Linked DNA regions of Anolis sagrei. The protein of the gene in region 1 interacts with the protein of each later gene in a biochemical or structural test. Links are inferred from orthologs where the notes say so. Each region holds a gene or a part of one and is shown on either strand. Other genes may lie near its edges.

The links. The genes of interacting proteins can lie anywhere in the genome.
Region 2: the proteins of TRIM28 (region 1) and fructose-1,6-bisphosphatase 1-like form a complex in vitro, tested with the Homo sapiens proteins (2 studies listed by BioGRID). The link is inferred for Anolis sagrei from reciprocal best matches to the Homo sapiens genes TRIM28 and FBP1.

What each region holds. Positions count from the first base shown.
Region 1 is NC_090026.1:26,895,612-26,906,715, forward strand, and holds the start of TRIM28 (transcription intermediary factor 1-beta), read right to left. Parts: upstream 5,122-11,104; 5' UTR 4,918-5,121; coding exon 4,605-4,917; intron 1-4,604. UniProt on the Homo sapiens protein: Nuclear corepressor for KRAB domain-containing zinc finger proteins (KRAB-ZFPs).
Region 2 is NC_090022.1:230,377,161-230,387,696, forward strand, and holds the start of fructose-1,6-bisphosphatase 1-like, read right to left. Parts: upstream 4,901-10,536; 5' UTR 4,819-4,900; coding exon 4,649-4,818; intron 1-4,648. UniProt on the Homo sapiens protein: Catalyzes the hydrolysis of fructose 1,6-bisphosphate to fructose 6-phosphate in the presence of divalent cations, acting as a rate-limiting enzyme in gluconeogenesis. Plays a role in regulating glucose sensing and insulin secretion of pancreatic beta-cells.

The DNA of each region.
Region 1 (11,104 bases):
TTCTGGAACATGGCCATACAGCCCAGAAAACATACAACACAGTGATTCCGGCCTTGAAAGCCTCCGACAATCTATACATAGCATTTAATTGCCTTATAGCTTCAAAGCCTGGCTGATTGCTGCCTGGGGGTAACCAGGGCCACCACTTCTGCACAGCGAATCATTTGTTTCCCTCTCCCTTCATTGGAAGAACCTTGGGGAGAAGGGGTGGGATATAAATAAAGCTTTATTATATTATTATAAATATTATAAATCCCACTGCCTTAAGAAAGCTCAGAGCGTTCTTGGGGATCCATCTCACCCAGCATATTATTTTTATTATTATTATTGCCATGGTATAGGGTGATAAAGACAAACAGACTAAAGCAGTGTTTCTCAACCTGGGGGTCGGGACCCCTGAGGGGGTCACGAGGGGGTGTCAGAAGACCATCAGAAAACACAGTATTTTCTGTTGGTCATGGGGGTTCTGTGTAGAAAGTTTAGCCCAGTTCTATTGCTGGTGGGGTTCAGAACGCTCTGATTGTAGGTGAACTATAAATCCCAGTAACTACAACTCACAAATGTCAAGGTCTATTTCCCCCAAACTCCACCAGTGTTCACATTTGGACATGTTGAGTATTCGTGCCAAGTTTGGTGCAGATCCATCATTGTTTGAGTCCACAGTGCTCTTTTGATGAAGGTGAACTACAACTCCAAAACTCAAGGTCAATGGCCACCAAACCCTTCCAGTATTTTCTGTTGGCCGTGGGAGTTCTGTGTGCCAAATTTGGTTCAATTCCATTGTTGGTGGAGTCCAGAATGCTCTTTGATTGTAGGTGAACTATAAATCCTAGAAACTACAACTCCCAAATTACAAAATCAATCTCCTCCCAAGCCCACCAATATTCAAATGTGGGCGTATTGGGTATTTGTGCCAAATTTGGTCCAGTGAATGAAAATACATCCTGCATTTCAGATATTTACATGACGTTTCATAACAGTAGCAAAATGACAGTTATGAAGAAGCAATGAAAATAATTTTATGGTTGGGGGTCACCACAACCTGAGGAACTGTATTAAGGGGTCACGGGATTGGAAATGTTGAGAACCACTGGACTAAAGGATACTGTTATCCTATAGCTGTGGCTATACTGAACTCCGTGGTTCTGCATTAATGTGGAATTGAGGGCTGTGTGCTGGGGAGAGGCATTTAATTTCGTTCTGAAATAGCACAATGATGAATAAAGCTATTCTATGGGTTGCTCTAAGTGTTTCAGGCTGTATGACCAGGTTCCGGAAGCATTCTCTCCTGATGTTTCGCCTGCATCGGTGGGAGGCATCCTCAGACCTCACGATCCCAGAGGACGCCTGCCATAGATGCAGGAGAAACGTCAGGAGAGAATGCTTCTGAAACATGGCCATACAGCCAAGAAAACACACAACAACCCAGTGATTCCGGCCATGAAAGCCATCAACAATACAAAGCTATTCTATTCTAGCATGAGGGAGATGGCACACCACTGCGCAACCCCCTCCTCCTTCACCTTCCACCAAAGCTGCGCAGGAATTGCCCACCTCTCGCGAGATTGCTCCCGCGGCGGGCGCCCCCTCGTCGGAATGCACGTGGCCACGCCCCCCTTCGCTGCGCCTCCGCCGCCATAGAGGCGCCTCCACCACCAAAGAAACGGATGGATCTCAAGGGAAGGAAGGAGGGAGGCAGGCTGGAAAGGACGTTGTGCAAATGATCTCTCCCATTCCTTCTCAAGAGACCAAAACACACCTTGCAAACAAGGAACACATTGCGAGGGAGGTTTTTACAAAGGACAATGCAATGTGCAAAGGCCCTCTTCCTTCCACACGAGGCCGGATATCTTTTTCTCCCCAATACAAAGCCTGCTTCCACCCCCCCCCCCCCCCACAAAATATCTCCCTCCCTTTTCCTGCTTCTCCTCTCCTTTAAGGGAGGAAAGCGAGGTATAAATACAAAAAATAATTCTCTTTCACAAAACAGCAAGGGGTTCTTTCTCTTTCAAGACAAGAAAGATATAATAGTAGTAATATTCTCAAGTTTCTTTCACAAAACGAAAAGAGTTCTCTTTCAAGAAAGCGAGGTATAAATCCAAAAAATAATTCTCTTTCACAAAACAGGAAGGGTGTCCTCTTTCAAGACAAGATATAATAATAATAATAGTAATAGTAATCTCAAGTTTCTTTCACAAAACAAGAAGTGTTCTCTTTCAAGAAAGCGATGTATAAATATAATTATCCCTCGTTTTCATGAAAGAAAAGGAAACTTCTCATTTTGTGAAAGAAAACCTGAGAAAATGATGATGATTATATTTATACCTCATTTTCTTCTCTTGAAAGAGAAGGAAAGCCTTCCCATTTTGTGAAAGAAGCCTGTACTACTAGTACTATTCCTCACTTGCTTCTCTTGAAAGAGAAGGAAAGCCTTCTCTCTTTGTCAAGGGAACTTGAGAATATTATTATTATTATTATTATTATTATGCCCCGCTTTCTTCTCTTGAAAGAGAAGGAAACTCGAGATTATATTATTACCATTATTACTATATATGCCTAAATTGCTTCTCTTGAAAGAGAAGGATACTCTTCTTGTTTTGTGAAAGAAACCTGAGAATAATTGTATTATATTTATAACTCTCTTTCTTCTCTTGAAAGAAAAGGAATCTTCTCATTTTGTGAAAGAAACTGGAGAATTATATTATTATACATTTATACCTTGATTTATTCTTTTGAAAGAGAAGGAAACTCATAGTTTTGTGAAAGAAACTTGAGAAAATTATATTAGTGGTATTATTAATTATATATTTATACTTCGCTGGCTTCGCTTGAGGAAACCCTTCATTTTTTGTGAAAGAAACCTGAGAAATATATAAAAACAATAGCAATATAATTCTCTTAGGTTAATTTCATAAAGCGAGAAGGGTTTCCTTCTCTTTCAAGGGACGAAAACGAGGTATAATAATAATAATATGCTTCTTTCACAAAACGAAAATGTGGAATGATATTACAACATTATCTTAAGTTTCTTTCAAAGTGAGGAGGGTTTCCTTCTCTTTCAAGAAAAGAAAATGAGGTATAAATATATAATAATAATAATAATAATTCTCTAAGGTTTATTCCCCAAAACGAGAAGGGTTTCCTTCTCTTTCAAGAGATGAAAGTGAGGAATAATAATAATAATAATAATAATGGCTTCTTTCAAAAAATGAGGCTTCTCTTTTTCAAGAGAAGAAAACGTGGTATAATAATAATATAACAACAACAACAACATTCTCTTAGGTTTCTTTCAAAGTGAGGAGGATTTCCTTCTCTTTCAAGAAAAGAAAATGAGGTATAAATATATAATAATATAATTCTCTAAGGTTTATTCCCCAAAACGAGAAGGGTTTCCCTTCTCTTTCAAGAGACAAAAGTGAGATATAATAATAATAATCATAATAATCATAATAAAAATAATTTAATAAAAATTATTTGCTAAATAATAATAATCATAATAATAATAGAGGCTTCTTTCACAAAACGAGGCTTCTCTATCAAAAGAAAACGTGGAATAATAACAACATTCTCATAGGTTTCTTTCAAAGTGAGGAGTGTTTCCTTTCAAGAAATATGAGGTATAAATAGATAATAATATAATTCTCTAAGGTTTATTCCACAAAACAAGAATTTCCTTCTCTTTCAAGAGAAGATATAATAATTATATTTATATCCGCCTCTTTCATAAAACGAGAAGGCTTTTCTTCTCTTCCAAGAGGTAGAACTATAATAATACAATTATTTCTCAGATTTCTTTTACGAAGCGAGAAGGGTGCCTTTCTCTTTCAAGAAAGCAAGGTATAAATATAATTAGCAATAGTAATTCCTTGGGTTTATTCCTCTCACCAAGAAGATAGAATAATATAAAGGGTGTCTTTCTCTTTCAAGAAAGCAAGGTATAAATATAATTAGCAATAGTAATTCCTTGGGTTTATTTCTTTTACAAAACGAGAAGGGTGCCTTTCTCTTTCAAGAAAGCAAGGTATAAATATAATCAGCAATAGTAAATCCTTGGGTTTATTCCCATCACCAATAAGATAGAATAATATTAAGGCTTGTCTTTCTCTTTCAAGAAAGCAAGGTATAAATATAATTATAGTAATTCCTCTGTTTATTTCTCTCGCCAAGATGATAGAATAATTCTCTCCTTAGGCCTAATTCCCTCACTAATGGAGGGGCTTTCCCTCCTTGAGTATCTTAGGCCCCTCCTTCCACAGGGCTGTATAAAATCCACATTTGAGCTGGATTATGTGGCAGTGTGGACTCAAGATAACTTAGCTCAAAGCAGATATTGTGGAAGGAGGGGATAATGGTTTGATATATGGTTATATGGCTGTGTGGAAGGGCCTGGGGGCAACTTGGGCCTTGCAGGTGCTTTGGACTTCAACTCCCACCATTCCTCACAGCCTCAGGCCGCTTCTTTTTCCCCCTCAGCCTGAGGGGGAAAAAGAAGCGGCCTGAGGCTGTGAGGAATGGTGGGAGTTGAAGTCCAAAGCACCTGCAAGGCCCAAATTGGCCCATAGATAAGAAAGAGGGCGGTGACTAGGAGGACACCTGCAGCTCACCTTGCCCTTCCTTGTTGTTTCCTCCGCCGGCGGGCTCGACTTTGACGCACTCCTTGCAGACGCTGTGGAGGCAGGGCAGGAGCCTTGGGTCCCGCTCGGAGCGGAGTTTCTCCCTGCAGACGGCGCACTTCTCCAGTAGGTCGAGGCCTTCCACGTTGAGCGGGGCGCCCGCGGCGGCGGAGGAGGAGGCAGAGGCCGAGGCGGCGGAGGAAGAGGCGGCGGAGGAGCGCGGCTGCTTCTCCCCAGTGGCGGGTCCTCCTCCGCCACCGCCTCCAGTCTCCGCCGGAGCAGGGGCCGTGGCAGAGGCCGACATGATCAAGGGGTGGCTGCGGCTGCTGCGAAAGGAAAGGCGGAGGGTGATAAGGGCCTTCCGGGCGGCCTGTCTTCTCTAGGAATGGGATTGGAATGGAAGGTCGGCCCGCTACTCTAGGCCTCGTTTCTCCACCACCACCGCCGCCGCCTCCTCTCTTTCTCTCGCTCTCCTGCAGCCCCGCCCACTCGCCGCAATGAATGGCGGGTACATCGAGCCCAGGCAACGTTCGGTCGTTCTAAAGGCGGGACTTTCCTTCCCTTAACCAATCAGTGTCTCTCAAAACAATGAAGGATGGGTTTGGCATCCATTGGCCGTCGGGAAATGAGATAAATGGTCCAATCAAATCCCTCTTCGCTCCGGCACGGGTCCAATTGGAACAAAGCGGGACTAGGGGAAAAAAAATGTCAAGCCGCTCTTTGAAGGCAGGATGTAAGGAGGAAAAAAAAGGGGGGGGGGGGGGGTTAAGAGATTGTAACCATAGCAACCAGTCTGTGGAGGAGTTGGGCCAAAAGGAGACAGCAAAGGCCATGGATAAAGCAAAGTAAAGGTGTCCCTGGATGAGATGGACCAATTCCTCTCTTTTGTTGTATCCTCCATGTTGGAAGATCAGAGGAGCTTTCCTCCAAGCATTATTAAATGGCCGGTGCATAGGCTGGATCTGCTCACTGCTATATAAAATCCGCATGGTCTGCTTTGAAGTGGATTATATGGCTGTGTAGACTCAGGTAATCCAGTTCAAAGCAGATTATTTGATTTGATAATCTGGATTATATGGCAGTATTATTTATTTATTTACGAGATTTATATGCCGCCCTTCTCACCCCGAAGGGGGCTCAGAACGGCTTACAAGTAATATGTAAATACAATATTATTATTATTATTTTTGTCGTGTCAGGAGCAAGTCGCTTCTGGTGTGAGAGAATTGGCCGTCTGCAAGGACGTTGCCCAGGGGACGCCTGGATGATTTGATGTTTTTATCATCCTTGTGAGAGGCTTCTCTCATGTCATAGAATCATAGAATCAAAGAGTTGGAAGAGACCTCATGGGCCATCCAGTCCAACCCCCTGCCAAGAAGCAGGAATATTGCATTCAAATCACCCCTGACAGATGGCCATCCAGCCTCTGCTTAAAAGCTTCCAAAGAAGGAGCCTCCACCACACTCCGGGGCAGAGAGTTCCACTGCTGAACAGCTCTCACAGTCAGGAAGTTCTTCCTCATGTTCAGATGGAATCTCCTCTCTTGTAGTTTGAAGCCATTGTTCCGCGTCCTAGTCTGCAAGGAAGCAGAAAACAAGCTTGCTCCCTCCTCTCTGTGGCTTCCTCTCACATATTTATACATGGCTATCATATCTCCTCTCAGCCTTCTCTTCTTCAGGCTAAACATGCCCAGTTCCCTAAGCCGCTCCTCGTAGGGCTTGTTCTCCAGACCTTTGATCATTTTAGTCGCCCTCCTCTGGACACATTCCAGCTTGTCAATATCTCTCTTGAATTGTGGTGCCCAGAATTGGACACAATATTCCAGGTGTGGTCTAACCAAAGCGGTTAGACCTCATGTCCCCACATGAGGAGCTGGAGCTGATAGAGGGAGCTCATCCGCCTCTCCCCGGATTCGAACCTGCGACCTGTTGGTCTTCAGTCCTGCCAGCACAGGGGTTTAACCCACTGCGCCACCGGGGGCTCCGCATAATTAATAATAACAACAATAAGCTGGCACCAAGTCTGGCCAGAGCAAAGACAGAAGGGAGCAGAAGACACTTCCATCTTGTCTTTACTAATAATATAATATAGTATAGTATATATACATATAATATTTATAATATTATAATGTAATACAATATAACACTAGTAATAATAATTCAATATTATAATTATAATATATTTACATTACATGTAATATTACTAATAATATTACAATATAATGGTATAGTGCAATGTAGTAATATATACTGATATTGTACTATGCTAATAATATAATATATTGTATGAAAATATATATTGTAAGCCGCTCTGAGTCCCCTTCGGGGTGAGAAGGGCGGCATATAAATGCCGTAAATAAATAAATAAATAAGCTTTATTTATACCCCGCCACCATCTCCCCAAAGGGAGTTTTTGAGTTTTCTGGGCTGTATGGCCAAGTTCCAGAAACATTCTTTCCTGATGTTTCACCCACATCTATGGCAGGCATCCTCAGAGGTTTCGAGGTCTGTTGGAAACAAGACAAGTGACGTTTATATATCTGTGGAATGTCCAGGGTGGGAGAAACAACCCTTGTCTGCTTGAGGCAAGTGTGAATGTTGCAAATCGCCACCTTGATTAGCATTTAATGGTATTGCTGCTTTGAAGCCTGGCTTGTGCTGCCTTGCATCGGCTCTTCTAAACTGGGTTCTATGGGTCAATGGATATCTGCTAAAATACAGTAAAACAGTTTAAACCAACCACAGACATCTTAAACCTTTGTCCATTCTTCCAAAATGTTCCCAAGACCTCTGAGCTTTCAAGTCTTTCATACAAGAGAGTGAACAATGTGAACATCAGGAGGAGCTGACTTCCAAAATTAAAATCCTGCAAAACAAAATGAACAGAGGCATGAGCCAACAGCTGAGTTCTTAATGTCTGGTGTCAAATTAGCACAAAGCTGTAGAAAGGGTATGAAGAGAGTAAAATGGCAGGAGCTGCAAAGGCAAGCATTTCACCCAGCACTTGGTGAAAAGGGAGAGAGAGAGATTGATTGATTGCACACCTGGGGAAAACAATGCCGTTAACAACATTGTTTTATTTCAAATGTGGAATGTGAAGAGAGGAACTCCACCCCCAGTTTTCAAGTTTCAAATGTTTCCCATTGCTGGCTATTCTTCTTCACCTCCTTCCAATCTGAAATGGTATGCAAATAATAACCTCAGTTGAAAATTGGGAATGGTTCCCATGATGAGTCTATTTTGATTTTTTTTCTTTCGCCAATCAGGATTCTATTCTATTGTCTGTACTGTCTTGTCTTGTTTGAAAAGGAAGTGGATTTGAGAGTCTACCATCCCTATTTCACAGATATAAACTGGGATGTGTGTGACTGAACATCTGAGTGTGACCAAAAAAGTGTGACCAAGCAAAGCGAAGGCAAGAATTATTAATGAGAAAGAACATGTACACCTCTTATTTTAAACAGAGGAATCCTGAATTTTATGTACTGGGTTTAGCAAAGCCTTATAACAGGGAAAGAAAAATGCTGACCAATAAATGCAATACTCATTGTGCACATGCATGCACACATGCAGTAGGAGTACAGCTGCAGTGGGGACAAAATGAAGACTGTTCCCATAAATATTCTGCCCACCCCCAGAAATATTTCTTCAATCCCTATATTCCTAGTATTGCAAGAATGTGACACTGAAAATAATACTTACCTAGAACTCTATGTTTGTGTACTGCCATTCTCTTAGTAATTTTGCCTGCCTTTTCCTTTTGATATCTAAACTGTATTTCTAAATGATCAACTGTGGTTTTATGTTACTGCAAGGCTAGAAATTTGGGGACTGGAGGAAAATTTGAGGGGAAGAATTCTAATGTGGGGAATGCCATCATTTGACAAATTGTCCTCCTTTCCTCTAAGGCAGTGTTTCCCAACCTGGGGGTCAGGGCCCCTTGAAGGGTTGCAAGGGGGTTTCAGAGGGGTCGCCAACGACCATCAGAAAACATATATTTCTGATGGTCTTAGGAACCTCTTTGTAGAAAAGGCTGAAGATCTCTCTGCCTGTCCTTCTCTTCCTTTTTGGAAAAAGACATGGAATCATCCCACCAAAAGCCCTCCTCTGCCAGCCTCTCAGCCGACCTCTCAATCAAGGGGAGGGTTGTTTCTGAGACTCCAAGTGGGAGGGGAGAGAAGGTGTGCTCTGCGAATAGCAGGTGTGCTCGGCACATGGTGCGCATATGTGGATGAGGGAAAGCATGTGAGGGCTAATCCTGAGACTCCAAATGGAGAGGCGAGAGTAGGTGTGCTTGACACATGGCAGTTTGGTGCGCATGTGTGGGCGAGGGAGAGCGTGTGAGGTTACAGGGAGGTTCGCACTAGCGAGTCCCTTCAAGACATGGGAGTTTTGTGTGTGAAGTTTGGCCCAATTCTATTATTGGTGGAGTTCAGAATGCTCTTTGATTGTTGGTGAATTGTAAATCCTAGTATCGGGTATTTGTGCCAAATTTGGTCCAGTGGATGAAAATACATCCTGCATATCAGATACTTACATTGTGATTCATAACCGGGTCTGTGGCGCAGCTGTCCGAGTGTCAGCTGCATTAAGATCACTTCTGACCACAAGGTCATGAGTTCGAAGCCAGCCCGGGTCGGAGTGAGCTTCCGACCAATTGTGTAGCTTGTTGTCAACCTTTGCAACCCGAAAGACAGTTGCATCTGTCAAGTAGGAAAATTAGGTACCACCTATGTGTGAGGAGGCTAATTTAACAAAATTTACGAGGCTATAAAAAAGACTCCAGCAAAGCACTCCAGCAAAAGCATGCGGGGAATGCGGAAGTACTTCATCAGTGTCGCAGATGGACGATGAAAGCAACAGCTCCCCTGGCAGCCAGAAAAAGTTAAAGCCTCTGTCTGTTTGTCTATATCTGTTGTGTGTCTTTGGCATTGAATGTTTGCCATATATGTGTACATTGTAATCCACCCTGAGTCCCCTGCGGGGTGAGAAGGGCGGAATATAAATACGGTAAACAAATTAAATAAATAAATAACACTAGCAAAATTACAGTTATGAAGTAGCAACTAAAATAATTTTATGGTTGGCAGTCACTGCAACATGAAGAACTATATCAAGGGGTTCCGGCATTAGGTAGGTTGAGAAACACTGCTCTAAGCGCCACAGATCCTGGACTTCCCAGTATGTTCAAGCAAAAGTAACCCGCTGCAGCTTCTCTTATCAATTCTTATCTTGACCACAGTCTAATGTTGCTTGATCATATCTATCCTGGTGTTCATCTGTGAAACATTGAAAGAAAAAAGATTTCTGCTTTGAGTAACAAAGCCCATTTCTTTCCAGGAGACAAATCCAATGTTGGCTTGTTTGTTTCCAACAGAAATTAGTTGTATCCTGCAATCTCTTCATCAACATTTTAAGGCAGATGATAGCAACAGCTTAATAAGGAGAAAACCAACCATAAAACTTATGTAAACATCAGATTTAAAAGAAATGCATAAAACCACTGCAAACGTCAGATTAAAAAGAAAGGCGGAAAGTGATTATAATAAAGATTCCCAGTCAAAGCAGCTGCTTTGTTCCTGGCTTTTAGGAAATGTGAACTTTTTTGGACTGCACAGGGTGGGGAAAAGTTTACAAGGCAAAGGATCCAGATAGAAGCCTTAAAGCAGCACCACTTGTGTTGGTCTCACAGTCTGACAAAGGTAGGGTTGTGATTTATGTGTGTAAGAAATTTGTGTGAATCCTAGTAGCATTGAAAACCAGTTCCTATTTCAATCCTATTTATAGCTGAAGTTTCAAGAGATCTAAACCAGTGTTAGATATAATATTTCTAGGAGCTGGTGGATGTCTCCCCTCCCCTGAACTTTCTTATATTGTTGTACACCAGTTTAAAGGATTCCACTGATGACATGCAGAACGGCCTTGGAAAAACAAGAGAAGCTTGTTCTCTTTTCCCATAATCTTATCAGTCCAACCATAACATTAAATAATCCAGTCCTGGGGAATGCAAAAGCATAAATACAAGAGGTTTGAAAACTAGCAAGGCAGAAAAGGCAGGCTACAGACAGCAAGGAAAAGAAATAGTTGTTTCAGTAGGGAAATGGTATCAAGGGGATTATGGAAAATCTATACTTGCATTATAATTTTAAAACTAGAAGTTATCTAATACTGACCTTATTCTAATGATTTAACTCTGTTCATCCAAACTGTACATGCATTTCAATTTATCCAAGTTAAGGTTGTCTGAACTTAATCTATCAATTTACACAGTTTGACACTACAAACTCAATGGCTCAGTGTGATGGGATCTTGGGATTTGTAGTTTGGTGAGGCACCAGAACTCTTTGGCAGAGAAACCTAAAGACCTTGTAAAACTACAACATCCATGATTTCATTGAGCGGCAATTACAAGGGATGAATTGTCGAAGGCTTTCATGGCTGGAATCACTGGGTTGCTGTGAGTTTTCCAGGCTGTATGGCCGTAATCCAGAA
Region 2 (10,536 bases), on another chromosome or scaffold:
CCCCCGAAATTCTCATGGTGGTTCACGAAAAGGCCTTACTGGTGCATTATTTAAACTGTTATGTTTATTCATATCATGATCTGATCACCATACTCAATATATCCCATATGCATGGGGGTATTGGGGTAATGATACAAAAGGTTTGCTAGGCTAGACCCTCTTTCACTCAGACTCAGACCCCCCCCCGAAACTCAGCCCCCCCCGAAACCCCCCCTGAAATTTTTTAGCCCCCCCCCCCCCCCCCCCGAAACGAAATCCTGGCTACGGGCCTGGCTGATACTACATGAAATGTACCTTGAACTGTAAATACTACCTATCTCTAAGGCAACAATGCCGGGCAAAGGCTAAAGCTTACGTGTGGATTCCTCTGAAAACTCATCCCCAGTATATGCAACTTGTCCCCCATCGGGTGCATACAGGCAGTTCCCGAGTTACAAACATCTAACTTACAAATGACTCATAGTTAAGGACAGGGGTGAGACAACAGGAAGTGAGAGAAATCTACCTCTAGGAAGGGAAATTCACTTCTGGGTTATCATGGGGAAAAGGTATCTCCACTGAAACTTTCTAACCAATCCTTGTTTCCACAACAAGAGGATTTTTTTCAAAATCCAGTGATCACAGGAACAGAAAGTGAGAGGAAATCTTCTGAACCGGGGCACAGGTAGCAAAGCAAACTCCACAGGGGTGTTAACCCTTCCTGTGCTATCCAAAGCTTGTGTGTGTGTGTGTGTGTGTAAAGGTTTCCCCTGACATTGAGTCTAGTTGTGTCCAATCCTGGGGGGGTGGGGGTGCTCATCTCCATTTCTAAGCCGAAGAGCGGCATTGTCTGTAGAGACCTCCAAGGTCATGTGGCCAGCATGACTGCATGGAGAGCCATTACCCTCCTGCAGAAGCGATACCTATTGATCTACTCATATTTGCATGTTTTCAAACTGCTAGGTTAGTAGAAGCTGGCCATAACAGCGGGAGCTCACTCCAGCCACCCTGGATTTGAACCGCCAAGCTTTTGGTCAGCAAGTTCAGCAGCTCTGTGGTTTAATCTGCTGCGCCACCAGAGGGGCCATACACACACACACATTTAGCTGGAGTTACACTTAAAGGTATCTGTTCCAATGTACAAACAAAATCAACTTAAGAACAAACCTGCAGAACCAATCTTGTTCATAGCTTGGGGACTGGCTGTATTTAGAATATTTCAGTATCCTAGTTTTGATTAATCCCTACAAAAATTAAAATACAGAGTCCTAGTGAACTGATGTGAATACATAAAAATATCTTATAGTCTGAGTTGTCTCAGTTACACATTAAGCCAATCTTAAACTGGGTGGCTGTGACCTTTCCAGGCTGTATGACCTTGTTCCAGAAGCATTCTCTCCCAATGTTTCTGAAACAGAATGCTTCTGGAACATGACCATACAGCCTGGAAAACTCACAGCAACCCAGTGATTCTGGCCATGAAAGCCTTCGACAACACAATCTTAAAGTGATAAGTGGGTCATAGTATATCAGCAGTAATGCAGACCGCTACTGTGTTGGCTCAGCTTTAAATGAGCTACATTGGCACACGGAGGGAAAGGGCCAACATAACTGAATGAGTAAGAGTGGTAAAGAACTATGTCCCAACAAAGGTACTACAGATGAAGAATGGTGTCAACACTGGTTTCTTCATGCTATTACTACGGAGATTGAGTTATAAACGGTTACGTTTGCATCATAACTTGCTCATGAGAGAGGAAGCACACTTAAGCGGATGTTGGCATATAATATTTCTTAGTGTAATGTGCATTACAAAAGAGATTTTGTTCTATTCAATAAGACAGAAAAAAACATGTTTCCAGCACCCTGTTCCAAAAAAGGGAAGCATTACCATATCAAAAATTACCCGCTTCTGTTCCCTTTGCTGTAGTGCTCTGAAATACCAAAAATCACCTTCTCTATTTAGCCTTAAAGCTGTTTTCAGCCAACTACGCAATGCTTCCTAGCTAGAAACAGAAAAATATATACTGGACAAGATGGAGGCCCCTTCCACACTGCATATAATCCAGATTTTCAAAGCAGGAAATTCCAACTCATAGAGTTGGAAGAGACCTCATGGGCCATCCAGTCCAAGCCCCTGTCAAGAAGCAGGACAATCACATTCAAAGCACCCCCGCCAGATTATCTGCTTTGAACTGAATTATATGAGTCTACACTGCCATATAATCCAGTTCAAAGCAGATAATTTGGATTTTATATGGCAGTGTAGAAAGGGCCCAAGATTGAACTCTTATTCCCATTTACCTCAGAATTAGGTTTATTTAATTTGGAAGGACTGACCACTGTATAGGAATGTAATGTATACTGCAAGTATAACCCACTTTTTGTTTCTTGACAACTCTAGATATGTTGAACTACAATTCCCATCATTTTCCAACTAGAGTGGTGGCCAGTCTTCCAACACATGTGGAAAACGGAATTGGGTCTCTTGTGTCATTTATACTTATATTATTGTTAGCTGGAAACTGCTGCAAACCTGTCTTCAGAATCCCCCCTTACCTACTGGTAGGAGGTCTGTATGTCTAGCTCTGATAAAGCTAGACAAATTATTAATTTATATTCAATGTGTTTAACGCCCTTGGCCATTCTGTTTAAAGTACACCAACAAGGCCCAAAGGCTTTAATAAAATATCCATGTTTAATGTGGCACCTACATAAAAGCAGTATTGCTGACAATTGGAGGCCCAATGGGAGGACATTTCAAAATGAAGGAGCCACAGCTGAAAAGGCTATCTTCACTCCATATATTGCTCTCAGTGATGGGAAATTTATTTATTTATTCATTTACCTTATTTATATCCCGCCTTTCTCTACCCCGATGGGGACTCAAAGCGGCTTACAATCGCTTCACAGTGCCTTAAAACATACAACCTCAGTTAAAACATGAGTTAAAAATCTAAACATAATAAGCATAATAAAATACATTTCAATAAATCACATCATCCAGAGTCGTAGTCTAAAGGCTAATCTGTAGTCAAAATGCAAATATTCCATATTAAGATTCCGGCACTGCTCTATTTTTCAAACGCCTGCTTCCAGAGCCAGGTTTTGACTCTCTTTCTAAACACTAGGATGGAGTGGGCTGCCCTGATATCACTAGGGAGGGAGTTTCACAATTGAGGGGCCACTATTGAGAAGGCCCTGTCTCTCGTCCCCACCAACCGCACTTGTGAAGAAGGTGAGACTGAGAGCAGGGCTTCCCCAGACAATCTTAATCTCCGAGATGATTCACAGGGGAAGATACATTCAGAAAACCTCATATTGAGATTGGTACATATAGAAATGTGTTCCCCCACAAGTATTAAGTTCCTAAGCCAAATGGTTCCAATGCAATGACAATGAAAAGGAAAATCAACTGATTAACCACCTCCATTAAAATCTTTTGGGTAAGTCCCAAATGAAGTACAGGCTGAGCATCCCTTGTCCACAATTTTGAAATACTCTACAATATGAAATTGTCCACACACGTGGCTAAGAATGACTTCTATATTTTCTGATGTTACACTGAGTATAAACTTTGCTTCATGCACAAAACTATTAAAATCTAGTGTAACATTGCCCTTAGGCTATGTGTATGAGGTGCATACAAAACGAAAATCAAATTCATGTTTAGCCTTGGGTCTCATCTCCAAGACATCTTAATATGCATATATATATATATGCAAATAGAAGTATTCCAAAACAAAACACTTTTGGTGCCAAGCATTTCATACAAGGGGACTCCAGCTGAGCTCTTGTTAAGCCTGTCCTCAGCTGTTGAACATTGAGGTAACACATAGTCAAATCTAGTAGATCCAATGGTTCTACTATGATAGCCAACAAGATTTAGGTCCTTAATGTCTCCTACTGGGCACTCATCCTTTTAAGAAGGAGCCAAGGATGTTGGGATCTTAGACAGGGTTTGGTGTTACAGCAGAAAGGAATGGACACAATGTGTCACCTAGAACGATGCTCTTCCTTTAGCCACTACCTTCTTCTACTCACCACTCTCTTTCTAGGAAAGCAGAAGGGGGCTCAGTAGGTCCAATCCACACAACTCTACTCTCAAAGGGCACTTCCAGACTGGTCCTATATCCCAAGATCTGATCTCAGGTTTTCTGTTCATCCCAGATTATCTGGCAGTGCAGAATCATATAATTCAGTTTAAAGCAGAAAACCTGAGGTAAAAAAAACCCCAGGTTTTCTGCTTTTAAAAAACCACAACAACCTAGTGCTTCCAGTGATGAAAGCCTTCGACAATACATCTCCAATACTGTTCATATGGGTGCATCTACACCAGGCATGGGCCAACTTGGGCCCTCTGGGTGTTTTGGACTTCAACTCCCACAATTCTTAACAGCCTCAGGCCCCTTCCTTTCCTCGTGGCTGGTCTTGAGGACGTTAGGAATTGTGGGAGTCCAAAACACCCGGAAGGCCCAAGTTGACCAATGAATGCTGTAAGGTGAAGCTCCTACTATCTGACTTGGCCAAGGATGATAGAAGCTGGAGTGTAGGTACATCAGGAGAGACCAAGAGTGGCAAACATTGTGGGTGTCCACGAGGGGAGGGGAGGGGAAGGGGCTCTGGGGAGAGAAGGGCTCCTCCTCCTCTCTCTCTGTCTGTCACTCACAGGTTGGCGATGCCCGCCTTGCGCACGGCGGTGGAGATGGCCTTGACGGCGGTGCAGAGGGAGTTGAGCAGCTGGGTGAGCTCCCCGGTGCCCTTGGCCTTGCGCCCTTCCTCCATCACGAAGCGGGTCAGCGTGGTCACGTTGGTGTCGAAGGTGGAGCGGTCGGTCATGGTGGCCAAGGAGTGGGAGCAGAGCGCGGACCCAAAATTTGCCCGGCCCGGTCCACGGAGGAGATCCTCCACCAAGGCGCCCTCCCTTTAAAAACCCGGAACTCCGGCCACGAGGAGGAGGGGCGGACACCAGTGGCCCAATCCGGACCCCGCGCGTGGGGAGACGCCTCCTTTGCGGGCCTATTGGCGGTAATAGACAAACCATGAAGAATCTAGACTGTAGGTCAGGCCTGGGCAAGCTTGGGCTTTCCAGGTGTTTGTGACTCCAACTCCCATCATTCCTCGCAGCCTCAGGCCCCTTCCTTTTCTCCCTCAGCTGCTTAAGCGACTGTTTGGTGTCTTTGGGGTCCTGGAACCAAACCCCAGCAGATACAAAGGGTTCTCTGCATCTCATTGCTGAGAAACTCTGTTTTCCTTTTTGAACATGGAAATAATTGTAGCTAAGTGTGAGAAGGACTTGAAGCCTGCCAAATAATCAGATAATTCCACTCAGGCATGTAGCGGGGGGGGGGGGGGGGGGCGCTCGGGGGGGTTCAGCCCCCCCCCCCCCGAAATTCTGATGGTGGTTCGCGAAAAGGCCTTACTGGTGCATTATTTAAACTGTTATGTTTATTCATATCATGATCTGATCACCATACTCAATATATCCCATATGCATGGGGGTATTGGGGTAATGATACAAAAGGTTTGCTAGGCTAGACCCTCTTTCACTCAGATTCAGCCCCCCCCCCGAAACTCAGCCCCCCCCCCCCCGAACCCCCCTGAAAAAAATTCAGTCCTCCCCCCCCCCCCCCCCCAACAAAATCCTGGCTACGGGCCTGATTCCACTGATACTATCTTGCCAGTTCTCTACTTCTGGATGAAAGTAGTAAAAGTAGCACATCTCCGGGTGTTTGATTTTGTCAGAATCACGAGGCAGAGGCATTCAACGCTGGAATGGGGTTCAGATTCTGCAGATTTATCAGGCATATTTATATCATGACCAAATAGTGACATTACAAGCTACTATCTTTTTAATTATTAACCCATCTACTACTCTCAAAGGCACAATAATTTGACTTTCAAAGAAGTTGCTTATGGATACAACAGATATTTCTGCCCTGTTTGAGCATAATTATTAAGAAGTATATGTGTGCGTTTTTAAAAAGTGCACCAAAAAGCTTAACGGGTGTTGCTGTAACTGGCCCTCTAATCTACTTCTTAAATTTGATCCTCTGCATATACTAAGGGTTAGGTCCAATCTAATAAATCCTTATTAGATTAGATTTGTTGAATCAATAGAAGTGAACATGGTGTTACTATTGATTCAACAAATCTATTCTATTTGGACTAAACAAATGTAGGCCCCAAATGAAATTTCCTTTCAGCCCATTTGACAGAGCATATTGTGAATCTGATCATATACATGTCTTGTGACTGACAAATAACATTTCCCCAGAACAGGTTTTGGAAAAGGTTATTTTCTTTGTCAGTAGAAGATCTGAAAAGACTTGTTTGTTGTTTTAGACATATCCACAAACTTAGGCCCCTTCCTCACTGCCATATATAGCAGATAATCCATGTCATCTACTTTAAACTGGATTATATGAGTTTATACTGTCATATAATCCAATTTAAAGAAGATAATTTGGGTTTTATATGCCAATGTAGAAGGGGCCTCAATAGTCTGTTACAGTAATAGAGGGCAGGGTGGCATTCTTTGGTTAGTAAAGATTTTGTTTGATGCTGCTATTGTGTGTCAAGACACTGCTGACTCACGGTGATCCGAAGGAAAGCATATCAGAGTTTTCTTAGCAAGACTTTTCAAGGGGAGTTTGCTGTTGCCTTTTTGTGTGTGTGTGTGTGTGGCTGAGTCACCCAGTGGATTAGTCACTCCACAGGTTTCCATGGCTCAGTGGAAGAGATTCAAACCCTTGTCTCCAGAGTCCTAGGGCCCTTCCACACAGCCATATAACCCAGAATATCAAGGCAGAAAATCCCACAATATCTGCTTTGAACAGGGTTATCTGAGTCCACACTGCCATATATTCCAGTTCAAAGAAGAAAATGTGGGATTTTATTCAGCTGTGTGGAAGGGGCCCTGGGCAGATATTGTGGGATTTTCTGCCTTGATATTCTGGGTTATATGGCTGTGTGGAAGGGCCCCTAGTCCAACACCAAGGAAAATCTTCCAGAAGAATACAAGAAAATGCTGTAAGTGTATATTGAATTTCTAGCTTGGATTTTTCCCCCCAGTTTACTTAATGTAAATGAACATATTGAAAAGCTTTATGACTAGATATGAAACCGCTGGGAGAGGCCTCCCAGAATTTTGGAGTTTGGTGCCACCTATATGCAGATGACACCCAACTCTACTACTCCTTTCCACCTAAAGCCAAGGAAGCTGTCCTGAACTTAAACCAGTGCCTGTCATCGGTAATGGACTGGATGAGGCAAAAACATTGAAACTTAATCCAGACAAGACAGAGGTACTCCTGGCCAATTGGAAGGCAGACCAGAGAATAGGGATCCAGTCTGTGCTGGATAGGGTTACACTCCCCTCTGAAGACACGGGTTCTCAGTTTGGGGACCCTCTTGTACTTGGCATTGAATATGGAGGCCCAGGTATCTGCGGTGGCCAGGAGGGCCTTTGCATAATTAAAACTTGTGTGCCAACTGTGCCCATTCCTTGAGAAGCCAGATCTGGCCATTGTGGTAACATGCTCTATGTGTGGGTGCCTCTGAAGGGTGATCAGAAACTTCAGCTGGCCCAAAGAGCTGAAGCCATGGTCAGGAGAGACCCTTCTCTCTGTCCCACCTCCATCTCAAGCCCAGTTGGTGGAATGAGAGAGAGAGAGAGAGAGAGAGAGAGAGAGAGAGAGAGAGCCTTCCTTCTTGGTGGTTGCCCCGTGACTCTGAAACTCTCTTCTTCCCAGGGATGCCGGAAAGGCTCCCTCCCTGCTGTCCTTCTGGTGGCAAGCTAAAACCTTCTTATTCAGACAGGGTTTTAAAGATCAAGGTTTTAAAGATCAAGCCAGGAGGTGCTGTGGTTTGAATTTGAATATGCATTGAATGGTTTTAAACTGTAAATGTTTAATACTGTTTATATTTAATTCTGCTTTAATGTTTGTATAGCTTTATATTTGGAATTGTGTACTAATGCTTTTATGTTAAGCCACTTTGAGTCCCCTTCGGGAGAGATAAAGCAGAGTCTAAATAGTAATAATAGTAATAATAATAATAATTATTATTATTATTATTATTATTATTATTATTATTTTGGAGCACAATACTCCTGACCTCACAATTGTGTTAAAAAACGAAGTATGGATTGTCGATGTTGCAATCTCAGGTGACAGCAGAATTGAAGAGAAACAACTGGAAAAGCTGACACTGCAAAGACTCTGGCACAAGCCAATAAAGGTGGTCCCAGTGGTGATTGACACACTGGGTACAGTGCCTAAAGACCTTGGCCTGCAGTTAAACACAATTGGCACTGATAAAATTACCATCTACCAGTTGCAGAAAGCCACCCTACTGGGATCTGCACGCATTATTCACCGATACATCACACAGTCCTACACACTTGGGAAGTGTCCGACGTGTGATCCAATACAACAGCCAGCAGAGTTATCTTGTCTGCTGTGGACTCATCTTGTTGTGTTTCAAATAACAACAACAACAACAACAACAACAAAAACAATAATAATAGAAAGTCCAGCTCCCTTTTCCCCAGTAGCATAACAGGGCAGTATATTGACCTTCTTACCAGGCAATTATACAGTGACACATTAAAGGCATTATCACATCATGCTATTATACCATCATTGTTGCATTGTGAAGTCACTAAAAACCCAGTAAACAATCCATTAATGAGCTTTACCAAAAACAATTCAGGCTGGGTCTACACTGCCCTATATATCCCAGGAAATGATTCTAGATTAGGTTTGAACTGGATTATATTGCTTTGAACTGGATTATATGAGTCTACACTGTCAGATAATCTGAGATAAGCAGATACTTGGGATCAGATCCTGGGATATAGAACAATGTAGATCCAACCTCAGTAACCAGGTGCTGATAGCTCATGGTATTTTATCTGTGAATTAGTGGTTTGAGTGTCGGCAGGTTATCCCTTTGTCAAGGATTCCCTAGGAAATCTGGCCTGTTACTTCTGGTGCTTGGACAGGGAAGATAGCTTTTCTGGTATTTTTCATTTCCTCTAATACACTCTTCCAAATTCAGATTTTTTTCCTGTTATGTTGTCATAATCTATAGCACACCCTATCATTATAGCAATGTTCTATCATAACACTATTAATTCTTTAAAAAATTAGACACGAAGAAGTGGGGTGGGGTATAAGGCAGGTGGCAGTGATGCATCCATGCAGATGACAAAAATATGCTGTGTAGCTCCAGCAAGGGTGCGATAGAGAGCATCCACAATCAGCAACTTTCAGAAGACTGGCCGGAGCTGATTGCCAACAGAATAATATGTCATAAAACGTTGGTGTGATAAGTCCCTAAGGCAATTACAGTAGCACAGATAATGCAGTAGCCTAAATAGCCAACTACCATTGTTATTAGGATTAGAGTGTAAGTGCATTGGAACCTGGCCAAATCATTTTAAACTTCACAGATAGTGTGTCATTCCCCCATCCTTCCCCCAAAGAGCTAACTGGTGCAGTATGATTTATATACCACCTAAAAGTTACAATGATTCAAACATTGTAGAAATACGAATTTAAATTTTAAAGAAAGAAAATAATCAGATTGGTTGCAAATCACCTATTCACCCAAGCTGTGCTCACAAAAGCACACAACATGAACATGTGAGGAGGTAAGGAAAAGATTCCATCTTCAATACAGCTCTCCACAACTGTGGCTGGATCTATACTGCCATATAATGTAGTTTATACTACACTGAACTGCATTCTACACTGGCCATATAATGCAGTTCAAACTGCATTATACACTCAGTGTAGAATCAGCCTTTGCTAGACATCACTGCAACCGTGTGTTTGAAAGACCTAGTCATAGCTGCCAAATACATGGTTAGTAAAGAATGTGGTGCCTTTATTAAGGATTGAATTATAGCAATAGGGTCTTGTGATGCTCACATATTGATTTAACATAGTAGGAGGACTTCATAAAGCCATTAATATTCGATCTTGGCGCCACGTCTTTAGGAATCATTTACAGCAGTAGCGTTTTATTTCATGTTTTTATTTATGACATTAAGTGTATGCGATTGCATCCATTATTTAATAGCCATTGGTTTGTGTCCTGTTGCAGCTCCAGATAGAGTGTGTTAGTGACTTTAATCAAGAGATTCTGGGGTTGAGAGTGTGTGCCTTCTCTAATGACTCCCAGTGGATTTCCATGCCCAAGCAAGGAATTAAACCCTAATCTCCAGTCATAGTCCAACGCTCAAAGCGCTACACTACTCTGGCTCCCTACTAGATTGTATTCATTAAATTTGTGGCATTTACCTATCTATTAATTTATAATTCAACAAGATTTGGGCCATTGTAATTAGCTTCGAAATCTGACTTTTAGGCAGCATAATAGCCCTGTGAAGCTGTTTGTTTTCATTTCACAAATAAAGTCGAGAGGTTGCAAAGTCAATAGTGAAACTACAGCTTATATGAAAATAGCTAATTGTTGTAGTATTGTATTTTAATTTAAATATATATATATAATACAACAAAAAGGGGAATATATATATGATAGAAGCCT